Linked DNA regions of Drosophila melanogaster. The protein of the gene in region 1 interacts with the protein of each later gene in a pairwise test. Each region holds a gene or a part of one and is shown in the gene's direction. Other genes may lie near its edges. The genes, in order: tadr and CG12895.

Region 1 (11,241 bases):
TACTCGCACAAAGCCACCAAGTTCGAGAGTTGGTCTCTTGCTTTTTTCTCATTAAAAACTGGTTATGTTAATCGCATGAAATGGTGTATGGCTGGCCGTTCTTAAAGATTTCGTCACATCTTCGGATTGCATAATAGGCAAATTTTTGTTATTTGACTTGATATCGTTTGTTTTGTATACGTGCGTTTTTTAGACTTCGATTTGCATTTTGAGCAAGAAGTCATGCGGGTCAAGAAACTGATAAAAATGTTTAAGGCCACTTGCGGAATTATGTGAGCACTTTTGGGCACAAAAATAAAAAAAAAATTCTTTCACTTTCTATGCTTATATTAAACATACTTAACTCCACTTATTCACCGCTGGGTGTTATTACCTGCAAATACACATGTGCGTACATATATAATATAATATTGTAATTTAACTTTCCGGTCAACCGGCACGCACTTAATCGATTAATTCCCAACAAATGCAAATTTATGTACTGGAACTGCCAGCATTCTTTTTGTGTCCGGCTAATTTTGTTTCGTCCGTATATTTATATTTTTCGACTGCTTTTCGCGACGATTTTTGACACTTGGGACGCAGGCGCAGTGAGAGAAAAAATGCGGATGAAAGGGGCTGGAGGGAATGTTGAAAAGGGCGCGAACTCAGCTGTTCCTTTGGGCTTCTGAGGTTTCAGTGGTTGTTTTCTGAAGAGAGGGATTCAGTCACGACTTGGTAATCAGAGTTGCCAGGTGGCTTCAACAAATACAGTCGTTAGTATTTAAAATGAACAAACCTATAACGAGTATCTACGACGTACTCAGCAAGTGTGAGTGCGAATGGAAAATTTCATAATTTTTCTGGAATATCGATAAATATTGGGGAATAAAACGAGAAAAAATTTAAAAATTGTTCAAAAGTGTGGGCGGAACCGATTAGAGAGTTAGAGTGGGCGTGGCAAACAGTTTTTTTGACAAATCGATAAAAATTTAATGACTTATTAAATTAGGAAAAAATATCCAAAAGTTTTTCAAAAATGTGTTCGTACACATTTGATCCTGATCAAGAATATTAATATTTTATATACCTTTCAACGAATCTAGTACTCGTAGAGTAAGAGTATCGGGTATAATAAGCATTAGGCGTTAACAGGAACTGAGAATGAAATTTGACATTTTTAATCAGTTATATTAGCCATAAAACAGATGTCCAATCATTTCTCCGGTAGCCAAACTCCGCATAAACCCAGTTTAATCAGTGCTATTCAACAACACTACGCCACCAAAATAAAATATTTCCCTTTTCTTAATCGCTTCACCACAATTTATTTCTTGCCAATTTCCGCCATAATTAAACCCAAAACAACAATTTTCCATTTGTTCTGTGCCATCAAAAGCGAGCAGGTCTGCGCGCATGTTTTCAACTTTTTCGAGAATTCAACCTCGTGCCCTGTTGACCGAAAGTGAAATATAAGCTGCACTCTGGCCAAATACGAGTCCGTGTCCAAGCTTAAAACACGCAGATTGTGTTGGCCAAAAGAACCCCGTGATAGAGGCAGACAATCGCAAATGAATCAACAGGTAGCCTTCGCAAAAAACCCGTTAGAACCAGCACAAAGGTGAGTCTTGAAAGCCAAGCGCCAATCTGAACGTTAACCTATTTTACTTCCTATCAGAATTCTGGTTTTAGCATCTGACTTCCGGTTAGTGTTTCGTAATGACCGAAAACGAACGTTTTGTTTTGTGCCATGTGTTATCCGATGACTTGGACATTATGCTGTTCACATTTCCTGTGCCGGCGATGATGGCCCATTTGGCTAGAACAGCCTAAACCTCGCTTATTATTATTAATTATGATTTATCTGACTACAATAAGGAGCTTGATAATTATTGGCCAAAAATCATATAGCGTCATGGTCATCGATTGGCTACCGTAAACAATTTTTTGTGAGTCTTGGGAATCTCATATGTGTGGTGCTAATTGCGCTTCGCCTTCTGAAGTATTTTATATTTCTTGGTTATTTGCAAATTTGAAATGCTTGAGGGGATTCTCGTTAAGAATATCGGGCTTTTTTAGTTCCCGCGAATTGCGTTGCAGAGCTTGTAGAATTTTGTAGATTTGGGGACCCAACAATACCGGTTCTATTGTTTGTGAAACTAATTTTCATCTGATTCGTTAAAGTATATTAAATATATATATATATAGAGTTAATTACAAAAAAAAAAATTACAGTTACAAAATTACATTCGTTTTCAGCTGTAGCTTATACACTATTTGCAAATAGCTAACACTATTTAATTAACAAGCTTATATTATTATTCTCAGCTTATATATTCTTACTAGAATAGTCAAGTGAGTCATAAGAATTAACATATTAAATACTATACGTCAAAAATAACATGCGTTTAAACTGTTTTTCGGAATTTTAATGTCGATTTCACATAAAATTTTAACATATGGGAAAACAAATCTCGATGAGTCTGTTAACCATTGATCTGCCACAGCAAATCATAATTGTTTCGTCCAATAAAGTGCTATTTGTAAACCTGACCAACAACTTCCGACTTCATAGAGCCACATTCCCAAAGAAAAAAGACAAATGAAACCGAAATGACATTGAATTTTGATTATATTGTCTCTGTCTTTGATTTCAATTAACATAAATGCTCTAAAGTCTTATCGTGAACGTCCGTCATGCCTGAAACCTATGTAAGATGTTGTAAGAAAATCGATGGTATGGTATTGATTTAATATAGTAACAAATGTACGAAGTAAGACAGACAGTAAGACCCAATCAAAGTATAGTAGGCGGCTTGAAACACTCATAAATTTCGCCTAAACTTTATTTTTAAACCGGACAAGGTAGCCTTTGCCAAAAATAGAAGAAACTTTATTTTTACTTGAATTAGTAAATAAATCACAAGTAAAAAGGTCAAACATCCGACCAATTATGACCAACGTCGGTTAAAGTTGGTCAGAAGGTCGATCCGTGGAGTCGTTGATTTGACGAGAGCAACCTCTAAAAAACTCCAGAGATACTTTGCTGAAGTGCACACGTTCGAATTAAACGGCTTGGTATAAGTTGAGATAGTTTGCATTTTATTGTTTTGGTTTTTATGACCGCTGTCTGCCGTTTGATTGTCCACAGAAAACCCGTTTCGTTCTAGACAAATTCAGAGATTGCTGCTAAAGCCAGCTCCACTAGTTATGTTTTTCACCGAAAATAGAACACTCTCGATAGGATAGGATTCTACCTTCTACCACAAGGTCTCCAATCGGGCTTGAAGCCGTCTTAACTGTTTATTTTAGCGGCTTCTCGCATTTGTTTGTTTCAAATTTTAGCACAACTTGCGGGAGTCATTTGCACAAGTCAAGGTCGCCTTCTCAGATAAATGCCAGATCTAACAACTTTGAATATAATATTCTTTAGGTTCCATTCGGCTCGTTAAAAAGAAGGTAGGAATTATTATTTAAAGATGGAAAATTTTACTTCGTAACGAAAATATAATAAAAGAATGGTAGCTTAAGATACCTGATTGATTTGTTTTTACATTTTAAAAGTAACCCGTCAATACACATTTGAATGCACTTTAACTAATGAACGCAAGAGCAAAATACTTATAGGTGTAAAAATAATATTTAACGTGCTAAACATTTGAAATGTGGCTTTCATTTGTTAAACGTTGTTGTTTGTCATACCTATGTGATTATGGTGTACTTCCTTAATTTCGTTTTTATTCCTAATCTAAACTAGTAATCTTGATGATATTTATATTACGTGACCTTAAATTCTGTATGTTCGTATTAGGTTTTTGTTGCCGGAATGAAAAAAGTACACATACTTCACCTTAAGATTTAAATTGAGGAGTGTGATTTTTCAAATCACTTGCAGTATTGTTATTCCGAGAATACTTTGTTTTATTAAAACTGTACATTTAAATGTGTTGGATTTATGGGAGAAGTCAAAAAAAATAATTATAAAAAGTCGTCTAGACAGTAGAATTCAAAGAAATATAACCAGATTTTCTAGCTTCGCCGAGTTGCAAAAGATATTCTAATATTAGCTTAGGCGCCATGTTTATCAATACTAAGTAGGTATACGATTTATTAGCTTTAGTTTGAGTGTTCCTTATATATAAATTTCTTATTGAGGAAATCAGTATATTTATAGACGGAGCTGCAGTAAATTCAAAAATAAAGTACATTAGCTATGCAAAACGATTGCACTTGTGCAACTCTTTCGAGTACCAAATGCAGAGACCCTCCGCATTTTCCACCCCACCCAACCCACTTTCCCATTTCCCATTTCCCATTTTCTCACCAAAGAGCAGAAGGCAGGCCAACCAACTGTAAACGTAAACAACGTCCACTGCGCAGGACAGTATTGAATTGAATCCGAATCTTTATCCGATTCCGAATCCGGTGGACAGCTGTGCGTCGGAATCGGGCGAAAGCTGTTTGGGCGGCGGAGGAAAAGCTTCAAGTGAACATTCAGTGGATTGCGGCCAATTTAAGCGAGCGGTTACGCGTTACCTGTGCACTTCCCCCATATTTTACCAGGTTACGTGTCAAGAGCAGAAGTTACCTCTCAAGCGTGTTGGCTAATTAAGGGCTAAAGCTCAAGTGCTGAAGTGTTGGAGTATCTAATATAAATTTTAATAAAAGATCACTACAAAATGGCAGTCATTGTTGGCCAAGTTCTGCCACAAGATGAGCAGCAAATCACATTTTGAACCTGGCCGATTGCTAGCTGAGTGAAAACCACAGTAACCTTTGCTACAACAACGACAATGTCGAGTGGCAGGTAGGATTCTCTAGCCCATATCCATTCATACAATAAATACATTTGGCCTATACTCGACAGCCATTTCGACCATATCTGGCAGTTGTTATGGCTGATATTTGTCATGTAATCAATAAATTGATTTTTGATTGGCATGTGTGTGGGTATTCTTCCTCGTTCTTGGTCTCCTCGTTTTAGTTTTTCTGTTGTCTTCTGACTGGTATTTGCTTTCCTTTCGTTCTTCCTCTGGCGGCGTCGCACTGACTGGCTTTTTCGCTGCGATTTACCTTGGCCCATTCAAGTGCCCGACCACTGTGCGTATACTTGATATATTCAAGCTGTGCATGAATTCTAATTCTATGAAGATACGGAGACAAACAGAGACACAAGGACATAGGAAAAAAATCTTGTTTATTTAGTTATGTATTCAAATATCATTCTTGGGAGCTCAACAAGTTCGATACGAACGGATAATTTTACATATACAAGAAACAACTATAAACAAACCTAAGTGTACCGCAAAGTGTACCTTGACTGTTTTAAAGCATCTCATTCTCTAAGCTGGGTCAAAGATTCGTTCGGAAAATGTGGAAAATTAGATTCACGAAAAAGTGTCCCCCACTATTATTTCACTCCCAGCTTAGCAAGGCCAAAGCTAGAAACCTGATAGCCCGCCAGCAGCTGGCCATGTAATTAGGATAATCGAGCTGCTTAAAATATGCACACAGAGTACACATAATTACAAGCAGCAGAAAATTGGCCTGGGAAAGGGAGGAAAATAGAAGCTTCAATACCAATGGCGTAAGGGGATATCCCCAAAAAACAGGCTATGACTCATGGCATCCGAGAGGAGGCAAAGCCACCAGAGCCTCAGAGCAAACAGGCGCGATCTCCTTTCACCACTCTTTCCCTGTTTGTTCTTGCACTGCAACCACATATAATTGAAAATTGCTTGATGAAATGTTTATTTAAATGTTGACTGGGAAAATATGTTTATTAATTTCCCATTAAAATTAAAATAGATAAAAATGATTTAAAAAAATATATATTTTTCTTACCTTCCTTATGAAAGAATTTTTTGTGCTGTAATCCCTCCCAATGTCAGTTTGGCGCCAAAAACTGTGCTTGTAAGCGTGGTTGTGGTTACTTAAAGTTGTATGGATTTCCGTTCGTGTTTCTGTGGGTGTCTAACCACAGAAGTCATATCCCGTCAAAGGTGACTGAGTCCTTAGTTCCACTCCGTCATGTAGGCAAATGCACCTTCGCAAGTAAAATCAGTCGAAAAAGTTAAGTCAAACCATACTCATTTTTGCCAGTATATTGAAGCCAATGGTATTATTATGGGCTTTGCGAACTTTGATCTAAAAATAATGTTTTGCGCATGATTAATCCCTTCAATTAAAAGTAAGTGTGCAATTAAGTCTTCATAAATGCTCAGATAAAGTTCCGAGTAAAAATGTCATTAAAAGACTTCCAAAACCATTTAGTATTCTGACCGCATATATATTTAATTATACACATCTTTTCGCTACGATTCTTAAGCCAACATAAAAGTATAAGGAAATGAGCAGTCTAATTTGCACAATTTTGTATTCATTACGCCAGTTCCTCGCAGGCAATTTAATTTAACTTGCCCCCGTGCGTCCTTTGAATTATCCTTGCAGCCTGCTGGACGTGCTCTGCAGCGGCAGTGGCGCCCGTTTGGCCCTCGGAGCCTCGGTAATCTCCTATCTGATTGTCTACAACGAGGCTTCCGCTCCCAGCCTGCTGGTTGGCGTTGTCTTGGCCACCGTTTATGGCGCAATGGCAGGTGGGAGTTAGGTGGAATACTTGTAAATATTCCAAAGTAAGTTAATTCTTTGTTCCAGCCCGCTGTAAAACTAGCCTCCGCAGCCTGCAAATGCCGTATGTGCGGGCCACAAATAAATTCGACTTTAGCTGTTTGTTTCTGGCCATCTGGCTAGATGCTCTGGCCACCGTGTGTGCCTGCGCTGCCCTGGCGAGGACCCTCAGTGCCTGCTTGGACGCCATGACCGGAGGTCTGGCCAGGATTCTCATATTGGGTGAGTGGTAACAGATGCTTGTAAATAAAGTAGCACAATACATTGGTTCAAGGAATAACAAAACCATTAGAAATACGAGATACGACCTAATTAGCAAACTATTATACATACATACTTATAAGTAAAGCCACTTCTTCGAAAATAATTAAGTACCATATGGTGCTCTAAGAAACAAACAGAACTGTAATTATTAAATATATATTAATTTCGTTTTTGTCATAAAATAATAAACTTGATGTATATTATCATATCGCATATATTTTGTTATGTATGCGTAATATTTTGGCGTGAACTGTGCTGGCCGACCTGTTCAAATATTATGTTGCCTACTTTCAGGCCGCAATGCACCCGCGAATGAGCCGTGGCCGGATGTTCTTGGCGTGTCGGTTGTCTTCCTCGTCACTGGGATGTTCATGCTGGGCCTGGAGGTGGGTACTCCTCCGAATCCGAAGCCGAGTTTAAATCCAAATCCACCCACTTATCGCGACACTCACTGCATTTGCGTATTCACAGCACTCGAGGGCCTTCAGCCTCATCCTGACTCTTGGCATGTTTGGCTTGAACGCCATTTTAAGCGCCGTCGGCTGGTGGCGGGGCGACATGTTGGCCTGGTCTGCGGATAGCTACTTCCAGCCCGATGGCATTAGCAGTGTAAGTGGCCGTAGACGTTAGACCCCATACCAACTGGAACTTCGATAGTGGGTCAGTGCACTGTGCCAGTCTGAGCTTTGTTTTTTTTTTTTTTGTTTGCCAAGTCCCATCGATTTTCGCTGTCGTGACCGGGAACATTTGCGTGACCGCAGCTGAATCCACAGGATACGGGCTTTTGATTATGACACGTACTGCTGCGTTTCGTTTTTGTTTTTTTTTGGCCTCCTTTCACTGGTATTCGTTCGCGGAAAGCCGCCAGTCAGACAGCAAAAACATGGAAAATTTTTTGGCGCTTAGTTTGCCGGAGTTGGTAATACTTAGAGTATTCGTAATAAAAGAGCTTTGATTTAAATACAGCATAATGTATTACTTTTTAAGTTATTCAGTCCAGTAATTTAAAAATTTGTAGTGCCTTTTATAGACCAAAAAAATCATAGAGAAATCAAAAAATTTCATAGAGAAGTCAATTTATACACTAGCAACCAGCATTGGTGGGGAAAGTCTGCTGCTATTTGCAAAATTATCCGTCTGATAACTAGTTCAAACCACCACACTCAGGTCTTCCTGGGTACTGCCCTGCTCACCTACTCCTTCCCCGGCGATTGGCCCCAACAACTTCGAGGTGGACGATTCACGGCGACTCTAATTACGGGATTGGTCAGTACTTCGCTGCTGCTGACGGCCATTTGTCTGTCGACGGTGGTGCATTATAGGTGAGTCTGACAATGCGATAATAATGGAAAAAGACATATTGTACAACTGTTATCGGCTACTGTACAAATGTTTTGTGAACTTGTACTAGAGATATCCTTAATGATGATGTATATTTAAACCAATAGCGTGGCTTGACATACATACATACATTTTATGTGTTCTTTCAGATCTCAGGAGGACTATGTAGCCGTGCCCTTGTTCAACATTCTGGATGAAAACGGCTTCCATAAGTTGGTTCCTGCCTCGGCTTGCATGTTGCTTTTGACGAGTTCGGCGGCATTTCTGGAGCTCTTTCCGGAACTATATGGTATTGTTGTGCGACTGGCCACCTCGGAGTGGAGAATACTGTCCAAGCAGATCAGTTATGAGAGCTCGGAGAGTGGTAACCCCGTGCTGGCTGTGTTCATCGCCGGCAGCATGTGTGCCATGTTGGCCTTCGCCTGTCCACTACAGCATCTCAGTTACACATTAGCCGCTGGCCACATGGGTGGGGTATTCCTGAGGGCCCTTTACCTCCTATACATCCCTTACAGACCCAAATATATGGCGCCCAGCAGCGAGTCTTCACTGTCGTACAGTCGCCTATCCACAGCACCGTTTGCCAAGAGCAGCAGCTACAGCAGTGCCGCAACTTCCAGTTCGAGTCGCTTAAAGAGAAGTCTCTGGAAGATCGGTCTGCCCAAGCACAGTAACTTAAAAAAGCCGAAGACCAAGCCCAGGAACAAACAAGAGCTGGAAAAGGAGTGGCTGCTCCTGGGTGAACCCACCTCGCCCTGTCCTCAACGAGAGGGCAGGGATGTGGAGTCCACCATTCTTTCCGATGGCGAGCCACCGGTAAGTGATTTCTGTGCTTAATTAAGTTTATTAAGGGTAAATGTCAATTAAAAATATATATTCTGACATTTTGCATGAAGCCATCTGACTTTGAGTACCCAGATAAATTTGACAAAAGTGACTCGGACACCTCCACCGACATTGATGCCATTGTGGATGAGTATCGTGAAAAGATTAAGGTAAGAACTCTCCATGAATACACGTAAATATAGACACTACATGTAATCATCCTCCAACTCTCCAGGTAACCACCGCCGGACCTTTGGAGCGCAGTGTGCGAGTGCCTACGGTGAGTTCCTGGCGCGTGACCATTTTCGCCATTGTGGTGATTGGATTGGGCATTGCCCTATGCATTGCCGGGCTCATGATGCACTGGGCTCCGGCAGCGTTGACCGGAGGGATTGGGGTTCTTATCGTGACCATTATGATGGGTTTTATACCCAAATACACGGGCAGTGTGATCAACGTGAGTCCCGTGATCTGTGGAATGTCGCTGCTGATGGGCGTGATCCTATTCAGTGGCTGTGCTATACATTCCTGGCCGGGATTGCTTATCTGGCTGATGGCTGGACTCATTCTGGTGATCAGATGCGATAAATACTGTTGCAATTGTTTTGAGCACACCACCATAATGAATGCCCAGCTGATACCTAGTGTCTCGGGAAAGAGCAACATGGGGTCAGCGTCGGGATCGGCATCAAATTTAGCGGGTCCCTCCACCAGCATCCGGATACCCAGACCGCCCAAGGGAATGGGCGTAGTCGGCTTGCCACAGCGCATCAACGAGCACAGATGACAGTCGGAGTCCTCGGAGGAGGAAGGCGAAGACCTGTTCCACGAGGACTTCAATGTGCGCGACTTTGACGAGGAGGATGACGAAGATTGCTGGACTGATTAGCTTGCGCCTTTTAAAATCCGTTTAGAAAACTATTTAATTGCTATGCGGATCCCCAGGACGATCCAGCTTCGAGCCACATATGCCTGAAATTTTCTAGCTAGCTAAATTGATTGTCGAAATTTACTTATGTATTTACAAATATATAGCTAGGCGACTCTCTGTACAACTAAGTTCAGAATAAATTAAATTTTTCAAAACGAAAATGTATAATCAATCGTTACATCATTTTACATTGTAAGAGTTTCGTAGCTGCATAGAATGTTATCTGCCATCTAAATATATAAATTCTCATTCTCCATGAGGTAATCCACCAGTTCCCTGATAGGCGTCATAATGGTCTCCTCGTAACCAGGTTGAATCTCGATTACCCTGAGTAATAACTCACTCCGATCGCAGTTGAGGTAATAGTCAAACTTCTCCGGTTCTTCGGATCGTTATCTATTTGAAATACTGGGTGACATTTTTGTCTGAGGTTCGGTGAGAGCCCAAATAACAAGGGCTGCCAATCGAGTTCTTTGGCACTCTTTTCTAAAGTTATTTTCTGTTATGAGATTCTTGTCCAAACCCAGACGATCCAGGTGATGCTGTAGATTCTTATAATAGTGCTCGAGACACTCATCATAAATCGCCCTTCTGACTTCAGCGGAGGCTACAATATAGAGTAGGAATAAAACATCTAAGGTGGGAGAACAATACTGGGTGAGTTGAAAATCTACAATGCAGCAGGCATTAGGTAATACTGAAGATTCCTTGTTGAAATAGTACACAATATTATGATCCCAAGTGTCTCGATGACAGAGTACATTTCTTATAGTCTTTGAGGGGGCGACCAGTTCTTCAGCCTTGGTTAGAAGATTGTAGAGCTTATCTTGAATAAAGTTCTGAGCTTTCATTGTTTGAAAATGCGGATTACGTGCTGCTAAAAAAACGATTGCCTATGGAATTTATAAAGTGTAACAATTCAGTTTTCATATTTCGTAACCGATCTACCAACCTTAAGTCCAGTTATGTACCACGAGTTATTTGAATCCAAATGTAACTCAATGAGCACATTTTTGTAACTTTCGTAAATCTTTACATTTTCTTTTTCTTCCCAAGCGATACTAGCTGCATGTAATTCAGATAGGTGTTCCAAAACGATTTTATAATGATCTAAAGTATAGTATTCATTGGCTCTAAGATGTCTGTAGTCCTGGGTAAGATCTTCTAACACTAGGATATCATTCCGACTGTAGTAACATTTTGGATAAAGCTTCTTAGTGGCTAAAAAAATGTACGTAAATACGTCTTCCTAGAACAATATATAGATTTTTAAT
Region 2 (6,359 bases), on another chromosome or scaffold:
AACAAGTCATTACATTTAATTTAAATAACCAGTCAGTACATACAAAAATCATAGTTTTTGAATTTACTTTTATTCCAGTCTTTGAATCTTCTAAAAAATGTGAACTCTGATATAAGCCTTGATGGAAATTGAAGAGCAGCTAATCCAAAATTGCGTCCAGTACATCCAGCATTTCCGCCGCAGAGTAAAAGTGTGTGCAATAAATATCCCCCTATCTATCGGCACATAAAACCGAAAATAAAATTTTCCAAGTGCCCCGGAATCTGGCGGCCGATAGATAAACCAGCAATTTCCACCAAAATAGAACGAACAATAGAGTCGAGTCGAGTGGAAAGGTAAACGCTGAGCAGGATTTCCATTTCCGGTGAGAAAAACCCAAGTGGAAAAACGAGAAAAAGCGACGAAAAGTGCACTTACCCAGCAGCAGGAGCTTGATGTCCTTGGCCGCCTGGATTCCATCCTCCTTTAGATTCTTCTCGATCTGTTTGGATCGCTGGATGGCGGCGCGTTCTTCGGCGGATGTGGTGCAGCCCATTGTGGTTGGGTTTGGATACTGATTTGGATTCGGATTCGGATTTACACGGGGCTTTTCGGTTTTCGGGCTTTTGTTTTCCAATTTTCCTGGACTTTTTTCTTTATGTCTTATTTGCTTATGTACAGTTTAACGATTTCAACTGAAATGGAGTATTGAACCCATCAACAATAACAAATACACGGGTCAGCGGATGATTCACTATAAACAGTGCGCGATCGATAAGGCGAACCAATGAATATCAAGGATGTGTTAAATATACAGCCGAGTTCAAAATAATAATGTTGAGTTATCTTAAATTAATTTTGTCTGCTGTGTATAAACACAAATTGTAATTGTAATTGTAATATTCTTTCTGTTACTCAACTATTATGAGAAACACAGCTGTATATTAATTTGTATGTAATAGTTAAAAAGATTATTTTAAACTGATGTTACAAGGTTTATGGAACACATCGTTCGCTCTATGGATGTTGTACTGTACTGAGACAAGCACTAATTTTATGACCGCCACTGTCTGTGCAATGGGCCGCGCACTGTATCAATTATGTTGCTTTTGTTTTTTATCAGCAGACGCAAAGTAAAAATAAAAGCAATGATAGCCAGCTAATTTGCATATGGAGCATGTTTGCGATATCGATACAAAATTCATCAATCGCGCTGATAAGATAAATCCATCAGATAATGCTGGATCGCGATAAGAACGATGGTAATTTATCATGTAAGTGAATTAGTCTCGAGGTCAAAGAGCCAAAAACTCAAGCTTATTTTTTGGATACCACTTATTTTTTGTTGTCACACTTTTAATAAAACTTTTATAAATTTTGTTTGTTTTTTTTTTTTTTTGGTTTTATTTGTATGTTTTTTATGCAGTGTGTATGTATTAAGCGTGGGCGTAGGCGCTAAAAAAGCGCCGGGTTGGTGGAAAAAAAGGCGGTGGGTTGTGGAGTTTTCTTTTTCGAGCGTTTGCCTAAGCACATTAACATATGCAAAAAGTAATGCCGTTTTTATGCAAACTGTTAACCATTTCGGATGTATAAATTTTCATTTAGTTTGTCGCTGTTTCACTCACACGCGCGCACACACTCACTCACTCACACGCACGCACTACGCACTCTCACGCGCTGCACACGCCACACCCCCCGCCCACTGGGCCGCCACCCACCACCCCACGAGTTTTCCTTTTCCTTTTTTTCAGCTTTTTTCAGCTTCACATTTACCACCGCCTAGTTTTCCAGTCGTATACACACCGCACTAGTGTATGCGTGTGTGTGGGTCTGCTTCAGCCTGCTGTGTGCGTGTGTGTGCAGGAGGCTCTCTTTTGCGTTTGGCTGTTCTTATTGGTTCCGTTCGCTTTGCGCTTCTTTTTCGCGACTCGCTGTATTTATTGCACCGATCGTGATAGTTTACCGTTGCACTTGCCGAGCACTTGCACTTGTATTTTTGGCCGCAGTGATATTGGTAAATTGCACTTTTCTGGTGTGCGAAAATTTAGCTGCTCTCTCTCGCTTCGTTCGCTCTTTCCAACTGCAGAGCGAGGCGTTCGAACAGCTGTTGGCGGCGTCGGTGCGCAGCACTGGACGCGGCGGGGGTGGCTGTTGACCAGCACTGGCCGCAACAACAGCTGCTGCAAAACAAGCTTATATTTAAAAATTTAAATTTGTTAAAATCTTCCGCTATTTATATACATATAATTTAATAAAATGTTTTATATAAATATGAAAGAACATGCTCACTTTAGTTTCAATAAATATTTTGCATCACTTTGTATGTACAGACATTTATTTTTTTATTATGTTTTGAAACTTATCTGGATTTTAAATAGCAGGCCACTCAAAAGGATCTCATGAATACAATATTTGAGCTTTAAGTGATACAAATAGAGATATATTTTTTATTTATATTATTGCAAATAATTATTAAAAATTCGCATACCTTTCATAACAATTGCAGTGCATATTCTCCCAAATATATTCATATTTAAAATAAAACAACTATTTTAATTTAAATTCGCCTGAGGTTTGAACGGTTAAATAAAATAAATGATTAATTCAACAAAGTGTGCACTTTCCAGCACTATTTATAGCAACAGCCGATTATTATAGCAGGAATCTATCGATTATACTTAACTTTCTTAGCCAACACTGTCGTTATATCATTGTTTTGGTCGTTTCCTAAAATGTTGCGGCAATTTATAGTAAGTTTATGGCCCCAAATGTAGTAAAATATAATTGATTGCTTAATTGGACACAGGTATCTACGGTAGGCCGTCGCCTGCAACTACCTATGATGGCCCAAAGTCGCCTCGCCAGCAATTTGGACAAAACTGAGTACACAACACCCGGGGAAATTGTGGACTACGATGATCCGCCGCATTTGCCAGTTCCGGAATATCCTGTCCGTCCCGATGAGCCGCTGGAAACTCGCAAGCAGCGGTATACGCTTAAAATGAAAATATCCCAAACTCCTACTTATGATCATTCATTATCTTGTGCAGCCTTTTGTATCAAAGCAGGAAACGCGGAATGCTGGAAAACGATCTCTTGCTGAGCACTTTTGTGGCCAAGCATTTGAAGGACTTCAATGCCGAGCAGACCGCCGAGTACGATCAGTTGATCAATGGTGTCAGCAACGACTGGGATATATTCTACTGGGCCACCGATACCAAGCCAACACCTCCTCAATTCGATACCGAAATAATGCGTCTGCTAAAGGAGCACGTCAAAAATCATGAAAAAGTGCAAAGGATAAGGCAGCCGGATTTGTGAACATTATAAACTATATTATATATATAAGCATACAAAACAATGTATTAAATGAATGTGTTATTCTACTCCTGATCCTTAAAAGACCAATGACTTGAACTTGCATTTTACCTGGTATTTAAAAACGATCATTTATACGGAATAATAAATAATACGGTTGCAAGTGATTTGGTAATTTGAATGTGCTTTCATTTTTATTTTTATTTGTTGAAAACTTCAGCTTAATCAACAAATCATGACATTTGAAAAGATACAATTTTAATATATAAAACTGAACACATTGTCAGAATGGCATATATTTAATCCAATTTGAACCCCCTTTAAAACACAGTTCTCGCTTTCCTGAAATACACATCCATACAATATATTTAAACGATTATCCAGTTAAATTCTATTCATGTTTGCCGAATGTGTGTATGACCAATCTTGTATATATAGATTAAATTTTAATACGCTTAAACACTATAGCGAAACATTACACTTAAAATGTTCATTTGCTTTTGCTTAGTCTTGCCACAAGACACGGGATGGCGCGGAGTCCATCGAAAATCGCTGAAAACACGGAGAATTAAAACGCGAATGTCTACCAGTTAACTATGGATTCGGTTCTATATTAACATGCTAAGGAGATGATTGAACAGCTTTTGCTCCAGGCTAGTCCCTTCACTATCAATTCTAGATTATATTTTGGTGTGTGATTGTTGTGTTTCGGGCGGTGGAAGCGAAAAACAAAGGGCTAATTCAATTTCAAGGGTCGTGTCGCAGCACATTTCGCAAATTTAATTATACATCATAATATTACACACTTTATGCTTAGAGAGGCTATATAAAATATATGTTAAAAGTTATTAAAAATCACGCCAAATCAAAGGCCGCCAAACGCATAGCATCTTTAGCATAATCGAACAATTAAAAGAACGGCGATTAGTTTTAAATAGGCGCACTGAAGCCGGTTGCGCAGGTAAAAAAGAAAGAGAACGGAAGTAACAACAAAATTTAACCTACTGCAAATTGTAAATAATCTAAATTTAGTCCAGTGTCTCGAAGAAGTCCTGCGGATCGACGAACATCGATGGGCTGCTGTTTCCGCTCAAGATTTCCGCTTCCTCCTCCTCCTGGCGAGCCGCCTCCGCTTCCGCTTCTTCCGCCTCCTCCTCCGCTGCCGCTGCTGCAGCCGCTGCCGCCGATGAAGATGAGCTGACCCCGCTCCTGCGACGACCCCGACGCACTGGTCCCGTGCCCGTGCCCCCGCCCACCGATGCCACAGCTGCCGACCGGAGCGTACTGCCCGTCATCACGGGATCGTAGGTCCGCGACGACGGGGCATCGGTATTGCTGGACAGGGAGGATTTGCGGCGACGTTTGTTACGCCGCCTTCGGCGTCGTTTGCTGGTCTGAACTGCCACGGCAGCCGTTGATGTGGAGGGCCCAGATCCGGTTCCGGCGCTGCCCAACGGTTCCGTAAGCACACTGGTTCGCGGCAGGGTCAGCGTGGTCTCGAACATCTTCAGCAGCGTCGGGGAACTGGGTCAATTTTGCGGGAACACATCGTCGATGGTAATGAAAGCGTCCTCGCCCAGCGAGTGCTGTCCGATCACCTTGATCAGCTCCGAGGCGTGAGCCACCAGGTATTCCAGCGGCGGACGACGCTCGAAGTTCAGGGACTCTGCATAATCATAGTAATTAGTAACTTCGTTTCGAGACAAGTGTTTAAAGACTTACCCAATATGGCCGAGTTGAGTGTGGTGGAAACACTCTCACGTCGCGAGGGACACAGCAACCAGCCCAGCGGACTGGACCAAGGATTAGAGTAGGCAATCAGACTAAATGCATCCTGTAACAACCATAAATTGAATATCTCTCGATTACGGATAATCATATTCTTATTGAAGTTATTTTTCAAATACAAAGAGTGCTTAGTCTGCAAGATACCAGTTTCTATTGTTTATACATTTTTATAGTTTACCTCCAACATTTGACGCTCCTCTTCAGTCATTAGGTTCTCCTTCTCCAGCTGCTGGCCCATGCTGGACAGTTCCTTGCCGAACTCAAGGATCTTCTCGATCACACGACCACAGTTACGCGATGAGGGGGAAACATCTACATCTGCAAGTGCTAGGGATTACGGATCTTCCCGGAAATGCCGCCAATAGATACATACCCATTTCCTCGTCGATGGCATCTAGAGAGTTGCGCACTGCGCTGGCATTGCCATTGGAGCTCGAGTCGCCGCCGTTGGAGTGACTCTGGCAGGGCTCCATTTCTACGTCCATGCTGTTGCTGTCGTGCTCCACGCACTTGTTGGAGTTGTCGTCAACCAACATGCTTGAACAGTACGTTGTGATTAAAGATCGGAGTAAGTATTACATTTGACTTACTTTTTTATATCTGGCCTATCGCCGCCTTGTGGCTTTATCACAGCTGGAATCGCAGTGTTGTTCTGTTGTTGAGTCTGATTTATGTTGACGTTGCCATTTCCACTGCCGCTCTTGCTGTGCTTGAACGTCTTGGTGGACTGTATCACTGACGTCTGGTTTGTGGGCATGGTCTGTGTGGTGGCGGTGACTTTGTTGTTCACGTTCTGTAAGACAAACCATCCGGTTCTACTTATCTTCCGCATGTAATGTTTAAAAACCCACCTCAATGTCAGCTCCATTGATCATCTCAATGAACTGGCGGCACTTCAATGCGAACCAGAGGTTTTTATTATTTTCCAGGAGTCCGGGGAAAGAACGTAGTGTATGTTCGATGGCCTGGCTCATTTTGCCAGTCAGTATAAGCTTAATGATCTCTGGAAGAGTGGATTTAAAGTTGGCATGTGTGTTGTCATTTCAAATGGCAAATATACGAACTTTGACGTGTCTTGATCGATGCCAAGTCCTCGTTGAAAGTCTGATTTGTGTAGCCATTGAAGGCCTCGGCGGTTTTGCTGAACGCATTATGCACCAAATAAGTGGAAACCAGGCTAAGCAATTTAGAAGTCATTGGGTTAAGCCATGATTTTTAAACACATTTAACAAAAACGCACCGATTCATCAGGTTTTCTGGGGTCTCCAGCAGAT

The links.
Region 2: the proteins of tadr (region 1) and CG12895 interact in a two-hybrid assay, tested with the Drosophila melanogaster proteins (one large-scale study listed by BioGRID).

The regions. Positions count from the first base shown.
Region 1 is NT_033779.5:21,070,930-21,082,170, forward strand, and holds tadr (torn and diminished rhabdomeres), read left to right. Parts: upstream 1-4,475; 5' UTR 4,476-4,772; coding exon 4,773-4,786; intron 4,787-6,429; coding exon 6,430-6,575; intron 6,576-6,633; coding exon 6,634-6,828; intron 6,829-7,164; coding exon 7,165-7,256; intron 7,257-7,341; coding exon 7,342-7,479; intron 7,480-8,037; coding exon 8,038-8,192; intron 8,193-8,360; coding exon 8,361-9,027; intron 9,028-9,107; coding exon 9,108-9,206; intron 9,207-9,271; coding exon 9,272-9,823; coding exon of another isoform or gene 9,824-9,925; 3' UTR 9,926-10,124; downstream 10,125-11,241.
Region 2 is NT_033778.4:10,433,690-10,440,048, reverse strand, and holds CG12895 (uncharacterized protein), read left to right. Parts: upstream 1-2,666; 5' UTR 2,667-2,711; coding exon 2,712-2,729; intron 2,730-2,785; coding exon 2,786-2,967; intron 2,968-3,029; coding exon 3,030-3,300; 3' UTR 3,301-3,451; downstream 3,452-6,359. Other genes in the region: RanBPM (Ran-binding protein M), read right to left, coding at 4,827-4,963, 5,020-5,131, 5,264-5,403, 5,459-5,622, 5,676-5,878, 5,937-6,088, 6,150-6,262, 6,326-6,359. UniProt on the Drosophila melanogaster protein: Plays an essential role in the assembly of succinate dehydrogenase (SDH), an enzyme complex (also referred to as respiratory complex II) that is a component of both the tricarboxylic acid (TCA) cycle and the mitochondrial electron transport chain, and which couples the oxidation of succinate to fumarate with the reduction of ubiquinone (coenzyme Q) to ubiquinol.